Elephas maximus indicus: one gene and its partners. The protein of the gene in region 2 interacts with the protein of the main gene of each other region in a pairwise test. Links are inferred from orthologs where the notes say so. Each region holds a gene or a part of one and is shown on either strand. Other genes may lie near its edges.

The links.
Region 1: the proteins of TFG (region 2) and SPG21 interact in binary tests that used the Homo sapiens proteins (3 or more experiments, as listed by UniProt). The two-hybrid records come from large-scale screens. The link is inferred for Elephas maximus indicus from reciprocal best matches to the Homo sapiens genes TFG and SPG21.
Region 3: the proteins of TFG (region 2) and MAPK1IP1L interact in binary tests that used the Homo sapiens proteins (3 or more experiments, as listed by UniProt). The two-hybrid records come from large-scale screens. The link is inferred for Elephas maximus indicus from reciprocal best matches to the Homo sapiens genes TFG and MAPK1IP1L.

The regions. Positions count from the first base shown.
Region 1 is NC_064831.1:55,137,083-55,144,698, reverse strand, and holds the start of SPG21 (maspardin), read left to right. Parts: upstream 1-4,301; 5' UTR 4,302-4,435; intron 4,436-7,616. UniProt on the Homo sapiens protein: May play a role as a negative regulatory factor in CD4-dependent T-cell activation.
Region 2 is NC_064836.1:71,531,053-71,539,120, forward strand, and holds the start of TFG (protein TFG), read left to right. Parts: upstream 1-4,756; 5' UTR 4,757-4,948; intron 4,949-5,109; exon of another isoform or gene 5,110-5,319; intron 5,320-8,068. UniProt on the Homo sapiens protein: Plays a role in the normal dynamic function of the endoplasmic reticulum (ER) and its associated microtubules. Required for secretory cargo traffic from the endoplasmic reticulum to the Golgi apparatus.
Region 3 is NC_064828.1:67,342,118-67,349,544, forward strand, and holds the start of MAPK1IP1L (MAPK-interacting and spindle-stabilizing protein-like), read left to right. Parts: upstream 1-4,112; 5' UTR 4,113-4,272; intron 4,273-7,427.

The DNA.
Region 1 (7,616 bases), on a different chromosome or scaffold from region 2:
CTTTGCAATAACCTTGTAAGGCAGGTACTGTTATTTATCTTCCTTTTTCTGGATGAGGTGACCAAAGCGCAAGAATGTTAAATAGCTCATAAGTGGTGAGCTGGTATTTACACCTTGGGTTTGTCTGACTCCAGTCTGAGGGCCTAACCATTCTAATACGCTGCCTCTACTTGCAAATGTTTTTATCCTTCATCTGGGAATTTAAGGTGTTAGACTTTGGCTTTCAGAAGCTAAGGAAGGAGCACACATGCTAATCCAGTGCCCGTTATATGCAGGGACTGTACTATCCGGTTTCAAAAAGATTTTTCTCATTTTAGTCACAACTTAATCACTGTCTTTTTTTTACCTTTACAAATTTCGATAATTCTCTAGAATCTTACAGTCAGAAGCTGCTTTATTTTGTATTAAAACAGTGACACTCTTGTTTTCCAAGATTCTTTATTGCTGTTTTTATCCCAAGATGGCAAATTACCAGCTTTTACAGGAGGGACATTATGAGCTCCTGGGTTGGCAGATGATACAAAAAACTCGGCACCTTTGCTTAGCAGTTCCTATTTTAATAAGTGAACAGTTAACAAACAATAAGTCTTCCAACAAGTTAAAATACTGTTTCAGTTAAATCGGCATTTTTTGTGTATAGGCTAATTTTTTTAAAGTTTAATTGGAAATCAGAAAGGGGGGATTAACAGAAGTTTTTCAAGGAAAGGCTATTGCAAAGATTTTTAAATACGTTCCTCATAAATTTATAGAATACAAGATCTTAGAATCAGAAAGGACTTAGAGACCTTTTAGTCCATCCTTGGACTCTTTTTACAGGGAAGTCAAGTCAGGCCTCAAGAGGAAATGTCTGCCCAGGGAAAGAACTCAGGTTTCTTAGTTACCCAATCATAACTAATTAGCAATGATAAATAACTGTATATAACTCCTCTTTGATGGGGTCTTTAGGTAGCAGGCTAAAGAAGAGCCATGTCAGCATCTTTCTTGGGCAGTTCCAGAATCCCCACTTGTCTGATCCCTAGAATCCAGTGCAGTGTGCATTTGACACAGAGCTGCATTCATTTTCAGTCTTGGGTTTCAGCATAATTGGTATGTAACACTGCAGTTAATCACACCTCGAGAAGCTTTAAAGAGAGGTATTTCAAGAATTGGTATTTGTCTGAAAAACCAAGTGTTTTGTTACAGATATTAAATTCACAGATTTTAAATGTTCCTTATTTGGACAGGAAACCCTGGTGGTGTAGTGGTTAAAAGCTATGGCTGCTAACCAAAAGATCAGCAGTTTGAATCCACCAGGCGCTCCTTGGAAACTCTATGGGGCAGTTTTACTCTGTCTTATAGGGTTTCTATGAGTCGACCACAACAGGTTTGGTTTGGTTTTGGTTTTGTTTGGATTAGAAAATGGACAATGTGCTTGTCATGTGATATGGAATAACTTCAGGACCCAAACATGACTGTGGGGTCCTTTTCACTTTTTCACAGATCCATGGTTCCTGGAGGCAAAATGTGGGTATTCACTCTAAGCGGTTCACTGGAGGAAACAGCATATATCATGTGAAACCACATGGGGTATTTGGGACCCTTGCAGCAGCTGGTATGATGAGAGTACCTTGGTCCCATAGAGAGGTCGGTCAAGAGCCTGACCTGCTCAAACGAGCTTGGACTTTAGTTTGAAGGCAGTGGTATTGAAAGCCAGGGAGTCGCACAAACATCCAAAAAAACCAAACCCATTGCCACTGAGTCGATTCCAACTCATAGTGACCCTACAGGGCAGAGTAGAACATAGCTGCGTTTTATTATTTTTATCACACAAATACATGAATGCATTCTTATACAGATTCAAATACTACATCTAAAGCCAAAAGATTTCTTCACCACCCCCTCACCCTACCTTCAATTACTCCTCAAAGATAATCACTATCCTGTTTGGTGTGTATGCTTTTCAACATTAAAAAAAAAAAAATTCACTGATGTATATATATGCATAGAGATATATCTAGAATTGTCTTTTAGGTGTGTTTTAAACTCTATGCATGTGTGAACACAGTTGCTTGGAGTTGAGCCCTTCTGAGACCCAGCTGGCCATGTTTACTTTGGTGTTCACAGCATATTTTGTGAGCATTCCAGTTTTCACATGAGATTCTAACACAGGGACTGGTGCTGTGGGAACCATCTGGTAGACCCCAACCACAACAGCTGCAAACCCTCCCAGCAACATCCACAATGTTGGCCTGCACTGTGGTGTACCCTGGGTCAAAAGTTTGCTGCCGGCAGCTGTGCCTTACAGGACAGCTGGAATTCCCAGGTATTAAATGTTCCTTGTTCAGATTAGAAAATGGGCAGTTTGGTTGTCATGTGTTATGGAACAACTGAGGATCCAAACAGGGCCATGGGGTCTTTTTCTAATGGAAACAAGCAAACTAGTCATTATTTTTGGGGTCTAATCTTTTACATTGTAACAAAAGTAGGTACATAACAAAACATAGCTTTATACCTGTTGCCTTTGAGTCAAATGGACTCATAGCGACCCTATAGCTATCTAGTGATATGTTTTTTTATTATCAACAGTCAAGTTCAAAATTATTATTACCAAACCTAACAGACAAGGACTTCTAATATTTATGGGCATAGTCAATCCATAGCTTAGATCTCATCAGGGCTGTTACTAAAGTGAGGTGTAGGGATGTGAGGTCTAAGGAATCGTAGGAATACATGTGGATGGATTTATTCATTCACTCATGCATGCACGTATTCATTCATTCAACATGAGTGGGAATTGACTCTGTGGGATACAACACTCTCATATACGTACCTGGCCTCCCTGTCAGACTGAGCCAGTGGCCATTTCCTAAGTGACTCTTAGCTTTCCTCCCACTTCTGTGCCAATGTTCCAGTCTTCTTTCTGTTTTATCCTGATTGCTAACACAAACCTTATGTCTTTTTGTATTTTTCCAGTGTCTCTTTAAAGTTCTTGTGAATTTTTTTGGTTTTTAATGGAAATAAATTATTAGGACATGTCCTATGGCACTGGCTGAACCCCTGTTGCCTTTGCTTTCCATAGAAGCTCCTGGCCACCTTGGGGACAGAGAACAAATGTAATGAGTTTCCATAATGGGTTTTACATACAAGGAGTGATTTGAGAGCTATTCCATTCATTAAACTATTCTAAATTTTTGAGAAAAGCCCTCTAATGTTGGAAACATGCCCTATACGCCAATATGGTGCTTATAATAAAGGATTACTTCCTGTGACTGACTCTGAATTCTGAAAGAGGTGATTTGGAGAAAATCAGGTGACTGTGTCACTGTGCTCTTGGGAAATACATTTGGTATTTGTCCAAGTTCTAGACTGGGACCCACAGCTCCTGGGCAGAGAGGACAGAAGTCATGACTAAAGACGCAATTTACTAGTCATGTCCCCTGACCTGAATTTTGTGAACACTAGACAGGGTAAGGGCAAAGTCTGAAGAAGGCCTTCCAGTAAAGCAGATTAGGGAGAGGCACTTTCAGCAGGACCTTGTTGCAAGATCATACAGGGAGATTTACATGTTGTTCAGCCTTATACATTATTTCAATGCAAACCTGCGACTATTTTATTGACAGGATGTCGTGACTTTTCCAGGACCTTGCTTGAGAACAGTGATCGTAAGTACATCAACATTCTCTATGCCCTTAAGGGTAAAGTGATGGAGCAGGAAGCTCCTTCGGAGCCTGTTCCGGAAATCCCCCAGAACGTCAGCACACAGCTGGAAAGGGAGGTGGGGCACTCGCTACCGTGCCAGGAAAAGAGTATACAGAACCCCGTGCCCCAAAACCTGGAACCCAAGGGGATGCCCTCAAGCTTTACACGGCAGAGGGGAAACGGCGGGCACCTACTTTCTCCAAGTGGACGCGAACTGAATGCAGAAGCGGGTCCCAGGGGACCCAGCGCTCTCTTCTTTCCCACGACTTTCCCCTAGATGCCCAACTCAGTACAGGCGACCGAAAGCCGACCCAGAGGCAACACAGACCTGTCAGCACCTGACGCCACAGCCAGGTGCGGCGCCCGCTGCCCCAGCCTTAGGCGGGATCCCGCGAGCGTCTAGGAGCCTCCGACCCCTGGCGCCAACCCGCCGCGTCACCATGGAGACCGCCGGAGCCACGCGGCCCGCCCCTTCCTCGTGACGTGGCCCCGCCCGCCGCCAAACCCGGAAGCGCAAGGCCGGCGCCCGCTGTGCGGAGGGTGCGGGAGGGGGAGCGCGGCGGCGGAGGCGGTGGCCCAGGCTCGCTCGGCTGCGCGCCCCGCCCCTCGGAGGCCGGCCCTGCAGCGCGCCCCTGCCGCCGTCCGCCCTGCGGGTCCTGAGCGCTCGTGCCGGGCCCGGACCCCCGACTCCCCGGCCAGCCGCCTCCCCGGCCCGAGCCGGGCCTGAAGGGGAAGGGCCGTGGGCTGACCACGGCAGGTGAGGGGTGGGCGAGGCCGTGGGAAGTGGGCTGGGGGCGTGTGTAGGGTGCGCGGCTGCTTCGGTCGGTGTGACTGTACGGGTGGCCCCGAGTGGGCAGGTCCATGTGACGGTGTGCGTGACTGCAAGCCTGTGTGTGTCTGTGTCTGTGTGTCTGAGGCCGAACCTGGGTCCTGGGGGTGGTCGCTGTGCCTGGGGCTCCGCCTTTATGTGGCTGCAACCGGTGGGCCCGGGTGAGGGTGGGTGGGGGATTGTGTGTGGGTCGCCTCGGGGAGCTTGCCCAGGCAGGGCATCCTCCTGTAAACCCAGCCCGGGCTACGCAGCCTCAGCCAGGAACATTTTTTTCGGTAAACTTTTAGGAACTCTGGGCAGAGGCTGGTTATTTCGGAGATTGCACCTCAGCCTGAAAGTCACAAATGCCTTTGTCATTGCTGAGGAAGGCCAGGTATGAGGCTCGTGGATGAGGGTGAGGAAAGTCACAGCGCTAGGATGTCTGTTTTCCTGGGGAGCTACAGGCTTGGGCTTAGGCTGCTGCTTTGTTTTCACCTACAAGGGGTGGTCCAGCTCCAGTTGGCACAAAAATCCGAAAGACTGAGGAGTAATTTAACAGTTGTGTCCGAATTTCCAAAAACTTTTATACCGAGAGCACAAGATGCCGTGTCACAGAAGAGATGCTGAGCAGACAGCTTTTTCTTCCATGAAGTTTAGAAAATAATGGAATAGGTTCCTGAAGAAAAGGATATATCTTCCCTGAAAATATATTTAAAAGATAGCTATGTGCTGGTGTCTAGGTCTGGAGACTTGCCTTAAAAAGCCGATTGCATCACCTAGAGACTCCTGGGTACTATTATTTTGTTATTGTTGGTATTAATAACAATCAGAGACTGTCCATATGTAGATCAACTATGGGTTGAGGTAAAAGATGGGAAGTCTCTGACTGGGTAAGCTCATTATGTGACTTCTTAAACGTTTGTGAAGGCCATTTTGTTGCCTGTAACCTGGCTGGTTCTGTTGAAATCCTGAGGGACAAGTGTCTGATCCTCCAGGCAGGCTCAACGGCTGACAGTTTTGTTGTCCAGCAGCATAAGGGCCAGGGAGGACTGGGTGTCCTCAGCACACCCTAGGACAGATTTCCTTAGGCAAGATTGAGGCTAATCTATTTGGCACTTTTCTGACCAGCACGAAAAGGTGCTTTTGTGTTTTGTGAAGAACTGAATTGTGAGAGATCAAATCAGTATTGAGCTCACGATGCGCGTTCTTGTTTAATACTGGTCAATTTGGTCACAGCCTTGGTTCATCTTCTCTGCCGTGTTCAGAATGTACGTCTTGTGACTTCAGTGGATGAAGGAGCCCCTGGGTAGTGCACACAGTTAAGCACTCAGCTACTATCAGAAAGGTTGGTGGTTTGAATCTGCCCAGAGGTGCCTTGGAAGAAAGCCCCAGTGATGTACTTCTGAAAGATCACAGCCATTGAAAAACCTATGGAGGAACCCTTTTCCACTTACTGTTGTGGGGAAGAGGTCTGTGCCTGAGTGAATTTGTGTGCCTGTGTATGATGCGTACATGCCTGTTAGTATAGTAGTTAGGTTTGTACATTGCAACTGATCCCAAAACTGTGAACAATAAATTAAATTATTACTCTGAAACACATGGGATGGCCAGGAGTGAGAATTGTCTCCACAGCTACTGGTTGGTTTAGTGGATGGGAAAAAAGGTAGGAGAACAAACTTTCCTTTTCCTACCACTCACAGCTGCTTTGCCTTTGCTGCAGTGAGATTTTTTCCAGGGAGATGTCTGTTGGTCAGCCGTAACATTTGGTATCTCTGTTGCCTTTCAAGTACTGCCAAACTAGCACAAGTGTTACAATCACTTGTCTCCATAAAAATTTAGTCACAGTTGGATGTTATATCTCCATCCAGCAGGGTTAGTTATAAAATGTTATAATACTTAGGTGGTTTTGAATAGGACTGAGGACTGTTGGTAAGGAACTCCTTTCTACTGATCGCCTGCTGTGGGGAAGAAGTCTGTGACTGAGTGGATTTGCATGCCTTTGTATGATGCGTACATGCATGTTTGTACAGTAGTTTGGTTTGTATGTTGCAATTGATCCCAAAACTCTGAAGTTTATTTTATCTCAAATTTGGGGAATCTAGAAGCAGACTTTCTGCCTTTAATTAGCTAAGATGTTTTTATAAATCTATCAAGTAGATTTTATTTGCTAAACATGTTTTTTATATTGCTTCCTATAGGATAGAGTAATTGTTTCTAGTGATGCATTACTGTAACATGTCTAGTATTTCAAATCCGTCCAGGTAAAAAAATACAACAGGATTAATTATATGTGCTAGTTGCTTTTAACTAAAAGTAATAATCAGCTTAGGGAGAGACTCCAGCTCAGGTGGCTTAGATTTTTCAACGTGGTAATATTTGTGAAGATGAAATGGATATGCAGAGAATGGTGTTCTTTATTTCTGTGTGAGTAATAACCACGTCTGTGCACATTGATTTTCAGCACAAGACTGGCTGATGATTTTCTTGGTACTTCAAAGCAACTTATGATTTTAACAAGCTTTTCTAAAACTACCGTCTTAGCCTTGAGAGAAGAGACCATTATTACAATGTCCGAGTTGTAAATCAAGTTTAGTATTGGAATGTCTAGATTTACTGTCTCCTTATTTTTAGGGTTTAGTTTAGTAACACCTCAAGGTTAGAGGTGACAGCAGAGACTGCTGCGTGTCCTGTGTTCCTGAAGGGCTAAGGAGGAAGAGCGCCACTGGATTTAGAACCCCTCACTCCTTGCCAGTCCAGAGGACTCCGTCTAAAACGACAGTTCAGCGTCAGCCAGGAATAAAATCCTAGAGTCTCGAACTCGTCTTAGCCCTACCAGGAAATCCAGGCTTGCCCTGGGGCAGAGAGCAGGGTGCAAAGCAAGTATTTGAATCCTTCCAAACAGATGACTAGGGTGGAAGTTCCTCATTTATCAATAAGACTCTACAACAGGGAACTATAATTTCCGGTTCCTGCTATGATATAACAGATGCCTGAGCAAAGAAGGACAGCCTTTAAACCGAAGGTGTTCAACCCGTCCCAAGCTCATACAATTGCCAGGGTTAGAAAGGACTCTAGTATTGCCTAATTCAGTTGCCTTAGGACATATTCACTTAGTCAGTAAATAATGCTC
Region 2 (8,068 bases):
TCCTCTGTCATCTTCACATGCGGGTGACAGTTTCCCTTGTCTACAAAAACATATCTTTATGTTTAACCAGTGGAAGGGAGGTGGAGCTGACCGACTGGCCCCTATTCGGTCTGCATGGAAAGACATAACTTCTCTTTTGAAATTCTCACCCAAGGAGGGACTTAGATCTCCATTTCTTTGGTTCCCATGAGGATAGCTGAATGACAGAAATCTTCGAAATGATTTATACTGACTATAAAAGAAGAACATGACGAAACACAGGTTTCATCTAATTTATTTACAAGACTCACAGTCTTTGTCCCATTTCCCATTCACTTAGAATCCTCTTGTTACAGGTTGAATTCTGTCCACCCAAAAAATGCGTTGGAGTCCTAACCCCTATACCTGAGAATATAGTCCCATTTGGTCATAGGGTTTTCTTTGTTATGTTAATGACGGCATTATCAGTGTGGGGTGTGTCTTGAACCTACTCACTTTTTAGATATAGAAAAGGCACAGAAGCACAGACAAGCAAGCAAGAGTGAACGGGGGAATGAGAGATGCCACATGGAGATCTCCAACGAACACCAAGAAGAAAGCTAGAGAAGCTAGGTCAAGGATTTTCTTCCAGAGCAGAGACAGAGAGACTTTCCCTAAGCTGGCAACTAAACCGTGAGAAAATAAATTTTTTGTTCATTAAAGCCACCCACTTGTGGTATTGCTGTTATAGTAGCACTAAGAGACTAAGACAGCCCCTTTGTCATTCTTAGGATCTTTCCATATCATGAGTTCTAGCCAGACGGGCTTTCAGGGAGAAAGAGCACATGGTAGGTAATTGAGGATGACTGCCTCTCTCAGAACTACACTACGACTCTAATACTTCTTCAGGTGTCAGTGAAGGTGGAAAGTAACCTTTGAACTGCACAGCCTCATCTTTCTCCTTGCAACTGGCTGGGTCAAAGGTGTCTCCATACACTGCTTCTGTCTTTCACATATTCTCAGCTTTCGCATAGCACCATTAAGCAGTATTTTCTGATTCAAGGTTATTCACCTCAAATTAACATCAAGTTCACCTCAATGTAGGACAGAAGGCAGGATAAGCATGAAGTTCAATTTACTCTAGTTCAGTACCTTAATCAGCTCCAATTAAAAAGAAAAGGGTAACATGTCTCCTGACTAACAGAAGTTTAAAGGTGATTACTTATAGAACACCTGGCCCTAGAATGATCTTCTGAATGATAGGTTTGATGTTTATGCCCAATAAATGTGACCATAAGTGTTTAGTAAGTGATAATTATATGATAACTTCGCCCTTTTGGCTTCACTAAGGAAAGGCAGCAGTAACTAAAATCAGTGTCTACACGTTCAGTGGGAGAAACTGTGTTCTTGGTAAGGGTGGTGACTGATTCAATTCAGGTTATCTCTATGGTCAGTTATCACCTGCATTTATTGGGAGCCTGAGTACAGAGACCTGTATCAGCGACTGTGGATATACATTACAGAAATAGTAATAACCATTTCATTGACTCAGCAGATATTCATTGACTGCCTACTATTCACATAGCACAATGCCAGATGCTGGGAAAGAGAGAATATAATGACTGCACTCAAGCTGGGAAGCTAAGAAGACAAAATACCCAAACATAAAAAGCTAAGTAAGGATACAGAAAAATTACAAGAGATTTCATATAGAACTAAATGTCCAATTGTCAAATATTTGGTACATACAACCAGAGTTATACTGTGGTCTTTATGGTCTCGATAAAGACCACAAAAAGATACCATTTCCATACCCAAACTAAAAAAACAATACCAAGGGTTGGCATTATCTTAAGCAGTTAAATATTTACATAACCTACCATTTAGCAATCCATGCATTAGTATACCACCATGAGAAACTCTTGTATAAAGGCATATACAAGAATGTTCATAGTAGCACAGTGTAAAACACAAGAAACAACCTAAATACCCTTTGATAGGAGAACGGACAAAAAAATTTGTGGTATATGTACTCACCCAAAGAATATTCTTCCGCAGTGAAAATAAATGAACTCCAGCTACATGCAACACGATAGATTTATCTTAAAAATCTTAGTAACCATAATATTGAAGGCAAAAACTATGTCAGAAAACTGCATACAGATGATATGCTAGATGATGTCCATAAATAAGTAAAACTGAATTGAACAACATATTGGTTAAGCATACACATATATGACCATATACAACATTGAAGCCCTGGTGGCGCAGTGGTTACGTGTTTGGCTGCTAACCAAAAGGTCAACAGTTCGAATCCACCAGCTGCTCCTTAGAGACCCTATGGGGCAGTTCTACTCTGTCCTATAGGATCACTGTGAGTCAGAATAGACTCGAGGACAACAGCTTATATTCAAGATTGAAAAACAATCAAAGGGAATGCTAAACACAAAATTCAGGGCCTTGAAACATAACCCTTATTTACTTCAGCCAGCCCGATCTCTTCCCTGTCTCATGTTCACAACCTATTGGGGGCAATATGACAAACCCAGATGATAATTTTGTGTGCTTCCCTATATGTGAGCTCATACGACATACAATTCAAATGTCCCAGAGGTCATGCCCAATCACAATACTGTAAGCTTACATCTAGCTAGATGGCAGGAAGCAAGCTATTTTATAAAACTTTTCATAAAAAAATTTAAAACAGATTTCTGGAGAATCCTGGGGAGATGCTTTAATGTTGCACAGATGCCCTTTTTTGTCCCATGTGACCTGAACCTCTGATCTGGCTCCCAAATGCTGCTTTGCTCTCCTGTAGCTCACTTCCTGCCTCAGGTGGCTCCTGCTTAATCACAACCCTGCCTCTCAATTTCCACAGTGGTAGCTGGGAACAGGTTTTAATATTACAGGACTTAACAGATGGCTAAGGAGCTCTGGTGGCCAGAGATTAAGTGCTCAGCTGTTAACTGAAAGGTCAGTGGTTGAATTCACCAGCCACTCTGCACAAAAGGATGTGGCAGTCTGCTTCGGTGGCACACAGCTATGGAACCCCTATATGGTAGTTCTATCATGCCCTGAAGAGTCACTATAAGAATCCACTTAACAGCAAAGGGTTTTTTTTTTGGCTTTTAATTGATGGTTTGGGAATGAAGCTTGAGGAAATTACAGCATAGAGAACCTAAAACTGCTCTCAGAGTCCAAAAGCCTCAGCCCTTCACCCACCCTATGGGCACCTCTCTTGGTCGCTTCCGGGGGCCACAGTGTAGAAAGGGCCAGCTTACTTCTCACTGACAGAATTTTTGAGTGTTTTTCTCCAGGGGATCTAGAGAAAGGAATTTTCTCCCCTCATTTCCAGGCTTAAGTTCATCTCCTTATCTCCTACCCTAGGGTCTGATCTTCTGGCATAATTTGGTTCCTTCAGGGAATATTTTACCTCTGCCTATATGTTCTACCTAATCCTAAATCACCCCCCAAAGGCATCAGTGTACCATTATGGGAAAACAGCGCAGTTTCCCAACACTGAACTATTCTGTTTTAAGTAACAGGAAACGAAGAAGAGTCTCTGGAGAAAATCAGGAACTTCTTTCCTTCCTCCAGCTGTGCTCTGCTCCCCAATCTCTGCAAGCAACTGCTCAAAGAGCAATACATACAACCATTCAGACAAAATACAATAATTCAGACAAAAAAGCATTCTAAACACACATTTCATTCTCAAACAGAATTTTCCGAGACTTATAACTTCCAAAAAGACCATATAGAAATATCGCTCTCATCCTGAAGCACCTGAATTTACTTTACCCCAGTTCCTTCAGGAGAATCCAGTGAACAACTGGAAGGGAATCGCTTTACCTATTTGCTTAGTCTCTACCTTCAAACGTAAAGGCTGCTTGCTACTTTTAAAACAGCACTTTCCCCCCAAGCTTTCATCCCAAAATTTAGGGCTCAATCTGAGCCGGGGCACTCCTTATATAAATAAGCGCAACCAAAACAAACGCTTAAAGCGAAGAAGGCAAGAGGATGTAGCGCAGCCTCCAATGCCTTAATCTCCAATAAGACTTCTGGAATCCTTCCAAAAAAACAAAACCCCCAAACCCATTGCCGTCCAGTCGATTCCGACTCATAGCGACCCAGAGGGCAGAGTAGAAGTTGGAAGCTGGAATGCTTAGTCAGCCTTAATTCTCCCAGCCTCTGCACTTACAGGATTGTCCTGTCCCAGAAACACTGCCTTCCCTGTTAACTGAAAACTCCTTGCTCACAAACTGATTCACCCCCATCCCTAGCACAGGGCTTGGCAAAGCGTAGGCATTCACAATGAATGAATGGATTTGTAAGAATGCGGGAAAAAGAGCAGTTTTTTTCTGAACTGTGACTAGAACTACAGTGGTCACAAAACAACGACAGCAACAACGAAAAACAGAAAAAAAAAAACTTCAAATTTGTATAAACTTCCACTCTCAACCGGCTCTCGAAAAAAAGTAACCATTCCACTCAGTCCCGCCCCCAGGCGAGAGACAGGAAATACGAGCTTTCAGGAAAAGCGGAAGCGCTTGGTCACGCCCCGCGCATGCGTGCATCCACGCCGCTCACATTTGTATACTTAGTCATCCAGTGAGAAAGCCGTGATCCTTCCGCCGACGCAGCCACGGCGCACGCCAGCCCCACGCCTCACGCTGCTGCGCAAGCGCCCTGAGCTAGAACGCGCGCATAGAGGCGGGGCAAAAGGAGTTTTTTTCCTTGTTGCCCCGCCCCGCCTCTTCCCCCACCTGCCACGTACTGGGCCAGAGCTCGCGCTAGGCTTGCTGGGTCCGCGCGATTGGCCAAGACCCGAGCGAGCCTGCGTGCGGGTGCGGCGGCCGCGGAGGGCAGCAGAGCGGGTCGTGACCGTAGCCTCCCCCTGAAGCCCGAGAGCTCGGCGGCGGTCCCGCACCGGCCCGGCGGGAGGAGCCCTGCGCGAAGGCGGTGGCGGCAGCAGAGCGGCCTCAGCAAGTCGGTATGGCCGCTGGAGACGAGGAAGCGCTGGGAAGGCCTTTCTCTGAGCGCCGGCCCGCGGGTGGGGCCGGGGAGACCGTGGGGAGGGGGCCGGCTGGGGGAGGGGCCGGCTGGGGGAGGGGACGCCGGGCGGAGCCTCTCGTGGGGGAGGGGAGGCCGCGAACGGGGCGAGGAGGTGGGGGCCCCCGGGGCCACGGAGGCAGAGAGGCCGGCCGAGGGGGCTCCGCGGGAGAGTGGGGCAGCAAGTGCCTGGGCCGAGCGGCCGGGCTGGCCGCGCGCGACAGAGGAGAGGGCCTGTGGGGGCGTCTGGGTGGTCGTGCCCCTTACCCCAGGGGCGCCCATGGCGATAACTGGACCTCGTTCCGTGGCTAGGTCAGTGCTTCACCCAGCGTCGTCTGGAGACCCAGCCCGGTGGAAACAGCTAACTGAAGAGTTTATTACTGGCTAGGCACTGTATTAAGTATGGAGCCCTGGTGGCGCAGTAGTTAAGAGCTCAGGCTGCTGACGAGAAGGTGGGCAATTCGAACCCACCAGCTGCTCCTTGGAAACCCTATGGGGAAGTTCTCTGACGTGTAGGGTCGCTATGAGTCAGAACGGACTCGAAGGCAACGGGTTTGGTGTTTGGTTAATGGCTCTGCTGGAGAAAGATGTGGTGGTCTGCTTCCGTGAGGATCACAGCCTTGGGGTAGTTCTCCGTCCTGCGGCGTTGCTAGCGGTCGGAATCGCTTGGACAGCCATGGGTGGAGGTGCCTGAGCTGCTCTCTGAATTGGAGCAGGCGATTTGGAGGTTTGGCCACTGGTTCAGGGGGTAGGCTTTTTAGTGATCGTGGGGTTGTGACATTATTGTGCAGTGTTAAGGAAGATACTTAGGGAGAGTTTTCTAAGTTAGTGGCCATGTCATTTCTGGACTTGAGGGTGGGTGAAGCAAGGACAGGATGGATGGCAGAACAGAATGTTTTAAGGATCTCACCAGCAGTCCTAGGAGCTAGTTGTTCATATACTAGTCTCTTGATAATGCCTGAACTTGGGGAAAAAAGGACCAGAGTTCTACTGCTACATGAAGAAATGTAGGGACAAGGTTTCCTCTCAAAGGGACAATTTTGTGACACACTCAGTTTGCTATACCTGTGTGGTTGCTGTAAGATGACTTCACAAACTGGGGACAGCTTTAGGAAAGAAGCCCTGGCTCCTGGCCACAGGGAGGTCACAATCAATGGGAAACAACAGCAAGCAAGCAGATTTATAGCCAGGATGATGCAGTTAACTTTTTAGATCCATTGGAGTTGAACAATAATCACCCCATTTATCAAGCAAAATGACATTAATCAAATATACTTAACGTAGGAATTTTTTTTACTTGGGAGTGTGTTGATATGGTAAGTCACTTCTAGCTATGTAAACCAAACCAAAACCAAACCTGTATTGACTCACAGTAACCCTGTAGGGCGGGGTAGAACTGCCCTGTAGGCTTTCCAGTGAGTGGTTAGTGGACCGGAACTGCTGACTTTTGGTTAGCAGCCATAGATCTTAACCACTGTGCCATCAGGGTTTCCGCATAGGGAAGAGACAATGTGATGGTTTGAGTTAGGATATTACAGCTTTCTTTTTCCAGTCTCTTTACCAGAACTTTATCGTTGCTTATTCATTTTTTTTTGTCCAGGGAACAAAAACAAATATTTAGATACCTATTGTGTGTCAGGCACTATTCAGTGTGCTGCTGGGAATAGATATTACCATCTTACTGAAGTTAAGCACTGATCGCTATGTACAATGTAGCTGGTTTACACACCTCGTAGGCAGAAGAAGGCTACGATTTCTTGGAAGATCTCTGTTACTCTCAGGCTACCAGTGCAACCAGGGTCCTGCTTATATTGAAGTAGTAGTGATACTTAGAGCTTGGTACGTAGTAGGTATTGAGTAATTGCTTCCTGAGTGAAGAGGGCAGATTTGTCTAGCAGGTGAAGAGCTCATTTTTTGGGGGTTTCAGTCAATGACAGTCTTCATGAGAAGTCCCTTGTGAGAATTCAGAGATAAAAAGCTAACCGTATTCTTATTTTGGATTAAGACAAGCATAACGTCTAGATCACGAAACACAATCCACCCTATTCTGCGTGGATTTTGGAGTGTTGTATGCAGTACTAAATGCTCCATTTTAAGACGGTTGTTAATAAAATGTAGGGTGAACTGATTGGTAAGAGGTCGAGAGACTTTCATTTAAGGATTAGTTAGAAGGACCTGGAGTATTTACAGAAAGAATATTAGGGGGGAATTCGTGAAGACTTTAAGTATTTGAGGGGTTACTATGTTGGGGGACAGGTAGTTGCTTGCACAATTAAGAGGATAATTGCAAAGAAGTATGAAAACCAAATATGATATTAATGAAGCAATAAACTTTAGAGGAGAGAACAGAAAGCTGCTACTAGGAAGGCCCGGGGTTCGATGTGGCTGATAGGAGTTGTCGGCACCGCAAACAGTCTGAAAGATCATTTGGTTGGGGCGGGAGGAGCGAAGAGCTGATGCTAAAGAAATGTTTGATGGCTATAGATAGCGTATTCAAAAACATACGGGCCTTGAAAGGAGGAGCGGAAAAGACCACTTACTATTTGTTCTTAAGTTTATTCTCTGTCATTGTAGGGTAACCATTTAAATTAGTAGAGACATAGATTTTATTTTGAATTTGGGATTATAAAGCTGTTATAGAATAACGACACCGAATTATCTGAAATAAGATTAAAGCAAAACCCAAGAAGGGAAAATTCTATAGCAAATTAGTATTTAGTGGCTAGGAGCCCTGGTGATGCAGTGGTTTAAGAGCCCGGCTGCTAACTGTAAGGTTGGTGGTTTGAACCCACCAGCCACTCCACGGGAGAAAGATCACAGCCTTGGAAACCCTATGGGGCAGTTCTGCTCTGCCCTGTGGGATTGCTGTGAGTTGGAACTGACTCCACAACAGGGAGTTTAGTTTGGTTTTTCTTCTCTGATGTTCTTTTTATTTCTTGAACCATGCATTCTAATCACATGCACCCACTCATGTCTGGAGGGGATTATGGACTATGTAGCACAGTAGTGGACGGTTTTGTTGGAAAGCTAGGAAAGGGGAGCCATTTTAGATGGATGGTCA
Region 3 (7,427 bases), on a different chromosome or scaffold from region 2:
TGACTCAACAGCAACGGGTTTGTTTTTTGGTAGTCTGTTTAGTGTGCAATAGCATTATATCTTTAAAAAAGTACATACCTTTAAAAAATACTTTATTGCTAAAAAGAAAAATGCTAACCATCATCTGAGCCTTCACTGAGTCGTAATAGTCTATTTTGCTGGTGGATGGTCTTACTTCAATATTGATGGCTGCTGACTGATCAGGGTGGTGGTTGTTGAAGGTTGGGGTGGCTGTGGCAAATTCTCAAAATAAGACAACAATGAAGTTTGCCCCATCAATTAACTCTTCCTTTCATGAAAGAGTTCTCTGTAGCATGTGATGCTGTTTGATGGCATTTTACCTATAGTAGAACTTTTTTCAAAATTGGAGTCAATCCTCTCAAACCCTGCTGCTGCTTTATCAAACAAGTTTAGGTAATATTCTAAACCCTTTGTTGTCATTTCAACAATGGTCACAGCATCTTCACCAGGAGTAGATTCCATCTCAAGAAACCACTTTCTTTGCTCATCCGTAAGAGGCAACTCCTCATCAGTTAAAGTTTTATCATGGGATTACAGCAATTCAGTCACACCTCCAGGCTCCACTTCTAATTGTAGCTCTCTTGTTATTTCCACTACATTTACTGTTGCTTCCTCCACTAAGTCTTGAACTCCTCGAAGTCAAGCATGAGGGTTGGTATCAACTTCTTCCAAACTTCTGTTAATGTCGATATTTTCACCTCCTCCCATGAATCATGAATGTTCTTAATAGCATTTAGAATGGTGAATCCTTTCTAGGAGGTTTTCAATTGACTTTGCCCAGATCCATCAGAGGAATCACTATCTATGGCAGCTATAGCCTTCAAACTGTGTTTCTTAAATAATAAAACTTGAAAGTCAAAATTACTCCTTGATCTACGGGCTGCAGAATGGATGTTGTGTTAGCAAGCATGAAAACAACATCAATCTCCTTGTACATCTCCATCAGAGCTCTTGGGCAATGAGGTGCATTGTCAATGAGCAGTAATATTTTGAAACAAATCTTTTTTTCTGAGCAGTAGCTTGCTACAGTGGACTTAAGATATTCAGTAAACCATGTTTTAAACAGATGTGCTGTCATCCAGGCTTTGTTGTTCCATTTATAGAGCACAGGCAGAGTTGATTTAGCATAATTCTTAAGGGCCCTAGGGTTTTCATAATGGTAAATGAGCATTGGCTTCAACTTAAAGTCACCAGCTGCATTAGCCCCTAACAAGAGAGTCAGCCTGTCCTTTGAAGCTTTGAACCCAGGCATTGACTTCTCTTCAGCTGTGAAGGTCGTAGATGGCGTCTTCTTCCCGTATAAGGCTGTTTCATCTACACTGAAAATCTGTTGTTTACTGTAGCCACCTTCACCAATTAGCTTGATCTTCTGGATAACTTGCTGCAGCCTCTACATCAGCACGTACTGCTTCACCTTGCACTTTTATGTTATGGAGATGGCTTCTTTCTTTAAACCTCATGAACCAACCTGTGCTAGCTTCAAACATTTCTTCTGCAGCTTTCTCACCTCCCTCAGCCTTCATAGAATTGAAGCGAATTAGGGCCTTGCTCTTCATTAGGCTTTGGCTTAAAGGAATGTCTTGGTTTTCTAGTGCTGCTATAACAGAAATATCACAAGTAGATGGCTTTAACAAAGAAAAATGCATTCTCTCACAGTCTATAAGGCTAGAAGTCTGAATTCAGGGTGCTAGCTCTAGGGGTAGGCTTTTTGTCTCTGTAGGCTCTGGGGGAAGGTCCTTGTCATCAATCTCGCCCTGGTTGAGGAGCTTCTCACCACAGGGACCCCAGGTCCAAAGGATGCACTGTTCTCCTGGCTCTTGCTTCTCGGTGGTATGAGGTCCCCCTGTCTCTCTGCTCTTTTATATCTTAGACTAGATTGGCTTAAACTGTAGATTAATCTTGTAGAGTCAGTCTACATAACTACCGCTAATCCCATCTCATTAACATCATAGAGACAGGATTTACAACACATAGGAAAATCACATCAGATTACAAAATTGTGGTCAATCAACACAATACTGGGAATCATGATCTAGCTAAGTTGACATATTTTTGGGAGACACAATTCAATCTGTGACAGGGAACGTTGTCATTGGCTTGATCTTCTATCTAGACCACTAAAACTTTCTCTGTGTCAGCAGTAAAGCTATTTCCCTTTGGAAACCCTGGTGGCAGAGTAGTTAAGTGCTATGGCTGCTAACCAACAGGCCAGCAGTTCAAATCCTCCAGGTGCTCCTTGAAAATTCTATGGGGCAGTTCTACTTTGTCCTATGGGGTCGCTATGAGTTGGAATCAACTCGATGGCAGTTGATTTTAGTTTTTGGTATCATTCCTGTGTTCACTCGAGTAGCACTTTCGATTTCCTTTAAGAACTTTTCCTTCACATTCACAACCTGGCTAACTGGCGCAAAAGGCCTACCTTTAGGCCTGTCTTGGCTTTCGTCATGCCTTCCTCACTAAGCCTAATCATTTCTGGCTTTTTATTTAAAGTGAGAAATGTGTAACTCTTCTTTTCACTTGAACACTTAAAGGCCATTGTAGGGTTATTAATTGACCTAATTTCAATATTGTCATGTCTCAGGGAATAGGTAGGTCCTAGGAGAGGGAGAGAGATGGGGCAACGGCCAGTCGGTGGAGCAGTCAGAACACACACAACATTTATCGATTAAGTTCAAAGTATTATATGGGCGTGGTTTGCTGTGCCCCAAAACAATTACAGTAGTAACATCAAAGATCACTGATTACAGATTAGCATAACAGATACAGTAAAAATAAAAGTTTGAAATATTGTGAGCATCACCAAAATGTGACACACAGACAGGAGGTCATCACATACTGTTGGAAAAATGGCTCCAATAGACTTGCTCCATGCAGGGTTGCCACAAACCTTAAATTTGTAAAAAAAAAAAAAAAACGCAGTATCTGTGCAGTGCAATAAAGCAAAGCACAGTAAAAGTAGGCATGCCTGTATTTGTTTTTTTTATTTTTTAAAAATAGACTATTGAAGTATAATATAATTTACATACAGTAAAAATGTATTCACTTTATGTGTAGCATTCAATGAGTTTGGTTTTTTTGTTTGTTTTTTGGTTGTTTGCTTTTTGGTATGTTAGGTGAAAGCCTACAGAGCAAATTATATTCCCATTTCATAGTTTGCACCATAAATCGCTTCATGGTCTTGGTTTCATTCCCCAGCACATGTCATGCACTCTCCCCATTTCTGCTCTGGGTTTTCTGTTTCCTTTCGTCCTAATTTTCTACCCCTTCCTGCCTTCTCATCCTTGCCTTTGGGCAAATGTTGCCCTTTTGATCACCTATAATTGATTATTGTTTTTGTAAGTAACACGTTCCTCTCTGGTGTTATTGTTTATTTTATGGGCTTTTCTCTAGTTTGGCCTGAAAGTGGCCTCCGGAAATAGTTCCAGGTTAGAAGGGTATTTCAGGGCCATAGTCTCTCGGCTAAATATCTAGCTCTTGCTATTTTTTGCACACCATATACTTATGACATCTTCATTACTAGCTTGCAGGCTCCTGATGACTAGGGCCATGTCCTAATCACTCTTTGGGTCTGATAGAGTAGATGTTTAATAAATGTTTATTCAATAAAGAAGGTGTGGGGAAAAACATGGATCAGGAAAAATCTGAAAAGATGACTGTTCCTTTAGTTAATATCAATTATCAATCCGTTTCCAAACGTCTTCCCTTTTCTGCATTGTTCCTTTAGCTCTTCTCAATTTTGACTGAGGGTATCTGCGTCTCCCAGAATCGGGCCGCTAATTGGCTGCATACACACCTAGCCAGCTTCGAGGCCTGGCTGTAAAAACCGCTGAGTGCAGGGAATCCAGAATCTGCCCTCAAGCCACTCAACGCAACAAATCAGGAATTTCCGCCTGGCTGCCCTGAACTTCACCAGTCACAAGCGTTTCCTCCGAGTCCTCAGAGCTCCGGAAAACCGAGGAAGTTTCCGCTGCATCAAGAGAACAGCCGCTCCACTACGGCCGCTAGGGGGAGCCGCAGTGCCGCCGGGGGCCTGAGGGGGCGCGCGCGGCCCAGCCCGACGGGAGGAGGAGCGCAGGCGGGGACAGCGCGCGAGGCGTGAGGCGCTTCCTGTTCCGGCGCCAGGAGGAGCCGCGCGCCGCTAGTGCTGTAGCTGCTGCTGTCGTCAGTCAGGCTGCGTTCGGTTCTTCAGCGCCCAGTTCTCTGGGACCCATCGTCGCCTCTAGACTTTGTTTCGGGGTCGGATCTTGCCGGGTGAGGCTGCTTCGGCGCTAGTGATGGTGGTAGAGGGTGGCGGGGGAGCTCAGGTTGAGGGGCTGGCGGGCGCGCCCAAGCGGGAGGCGGGCGCGGCAACCGAGGTGCCTTGAGTCATCTCCAGTGCTTGGGCTGTGGTTCCTCACGTAAGATTCTCTCGGCCACCCCGCTGCGGGTTCGCCTCCCGGATCACCCCCAAGGAGAAGGCGTCGGAGGCCGGTGACGTCACGCCCGGCGGGTTTGTCCGCCCTCGATGTCAGGCCTGGCTCGGGGGACGGGGGAGGAGGCGGGTAGCTGGCCTGCCCCTCCCCCACCCCGACTCGGCGAGCGCGACCCGCTCCGTGGCCGGTTCGCTCTCGTCAATCCCGCATTCTCTTTGTTCATTTGGTCCCAAAGGGCTGCCAGCCTCGTGCCCCTTGGCCCTGACCCTCTGAATTCATTAATTTCTAACGAAAAGGGAGCGAAATACTCGCATCGAGCCTTAGAGGAATCTCTGGCGCTTATTTAAGATTTCGCAGTTGTGACAACGTTGTGCTTATTTCTGACTAGAAGAGTTGCTAACAGATACATCAGATGAATCGCCATGACAGAAACTACCAGAGGTGCTGAGTTCTGTAAGACTCTTTCGGGCTGAGGAGCCCATATTGTGCATTGTAGTTTATATAATTAGCCTAGTCTTTGACCTCGGAAACCAAGAATAGACAATAGGTGCTAATGCAGCAGCAAACTAACTTCACTTGACTGAAAATTTTTTTACACACTTGTACACTTGATGGTTATAAAGCCCTGTTTTGAAAACCTCAGTACAGGTAGCCTTCAGAAGGAATTTGTTCAGTAGTGTTCTTTGGGCAAGAAGAATAGGTATTTTTCTTGCTTCCTAGTCAAAACTAGTCTGCCTCACAGACTTAGTTGTTCTTTTCCTCTCTCCAGGCAGAATGGTAATATCTGCCCCCAGTCCCTTAACCCAAACCCTTGGGGTCACTATGTTTGGAATTCAGAAATTTTTAGATTTTAGAAAGATAATATGGTGCCTAGGTGTGTAATAAAACTCCCGGCAGGGCTAAGGGACAACAAGCTGATAAAACCCACTGGCGTCGAGTCGATTCCGACTCATAGCAACCCTATAGGACAGAGTAGAACTGCCCCATAGAGTTCCCAGGGAGCATCTGGCAGAGTCGAACTGCCAGCCTTTTGGCTAGCAGCCGTAGCACTTAACCACTACGCCACCAGGGTTTCCACAACCTGATAATCCAGCATTAATATTTGTGTGGCAATAGGTTTGACTCTTCACTTTAAGTGGGGATCAGTTAATAAAAAGGTTATTAAAAAGATAGGAAAGTAAGAAAAGACCAAAATGGATGTCAGTAGAGACTCTGAAATTTGTTCTTGAATGTAGAGTAGCTAAAGCGAATGGAAGAAATGATGAAGTAGAAAAGCTCGACTGAAGATTTCAGAGGGTGGCTCAAGGAGATAAAGTATTATAATGAAAGGTTCAAACACCTAGAGTTAGAACAGCAAAAGGAAAGAACATATTCTACATTTCTCAAGCTGAAAGAACTAAAGGAAAAGCCTCGAGTTGCACTATTGAAGGATCCTATGGGTAATATACTGAACGATGCAGGAAGTATCAAAAGATGATGAAAGGAGTACACAAAGTTGCTGTACCAAAAAGAATTGATCTGGGTTCATCCATTACAGAAAGTAGCATATCATCAACAACTGATGGTATTGAAGGAAGAAGTCTAAGGTGTACTGAAGGCATTGGCGGAAAAACAAGGCTTCAGGAATTGACAGAATACCAGTTGAGGTGTTTGAACAAATGGATGCAGCACTGGAGTTGCTCACTCCTCTATGTCAAGAAATTTGGAGGACGGCTACCTGGCCAACTGACTGGAGAACCAGATCCATTCCAAAGAAAAGTGATCCAACAGGATATGGAAATTATCAAACTATCATAAATATCACACACAAGTAAAATTTCGCTGAAGATAACTAAAAAAATGGTTGCAGCAGTACATCGACGGTGGACTGCCAGAAATTCAAGCCAGATTCAGAAGAGGACGTGGAATGAGAAATATTGCTCATATCAGATGGATCATGGCTGAAAGCAGAGAATACTGTAAAGATGTTTATATGTGTTTTATTGACCATCAGAGACATTCAACTCTGTGGATCATAATAAATTATGGATAGCGTTATGAAGAGTAGGAATTCTAGAACACTTAATTATGTTCGTGAAGAACCTGTACATAGACCAAGAGGCACTCATTCAAACAGGACAAGGCGATACTACGTGGTTCATCAGAGTTGTATACTTTCACCGTAGTTAGTCAATCTGTATGTTGAGCAAATAATCTGAGAAGCTGGACTATATGAAGAAGAGGGCATCAGGATTGTAGGAAGACTCCTTAACAACCTGCAATATGCAGATGACACAGCCTTGCTTTCTGAAAGTGAATAGGACTCGAAGCATTTACTGATGAATATCAAAGACTACAGCCTTCAGTATGGAACCCTGGTGGCACTTGGCTGCTAACCGAAAGGTCGGCAGATCGAATCTGCCAGCCACTACTTGGAAAACCTATGGGCAGTTCTACTCTGTCTTATAGGGTCACTGCGAGTAGGAATCAACTTGACAGCAACAGGTTTGGGGGTTTTCTTTTTCCATATGGATTACACTTCAACATAAAGAAGTCATTTCTCACAACTGGACCAACTGAAGTTGTCAAGGATTTCATTTTACTTGGATTGATGCCCGTGGAAGCAGCACTCAAATAAAACAATAGTACATTGGGCAGATCTACTGCAGTAGACGTCTTTCAAGTGTTAAAAAAGCAAAGATGTCACTTGGAGGACTAAGGTGAGCCTAACCCAACCCATGGTATTTTCAGTCACCTTATATGCATGTGAAAGCTAGACAGTGAATAAGGAAGACCAAAGAAAAATTGATGCCTTTGAATTACGGTGCTGGGCCAAGAATATTGAATATAGCATGGACTGCCAGAATAACGAACACGTCTGACTTGGAAGAAGTACAGCCAGAATGCTTCTTAGAAGCGAGGATGGTGAGACTTTGTCTCAGGTTACTTTGGACATGTTATCAGGAGGGACCAGTCCCTGGAGAAGGACATCATGCTTGGTAAAGTAGAGAAAAA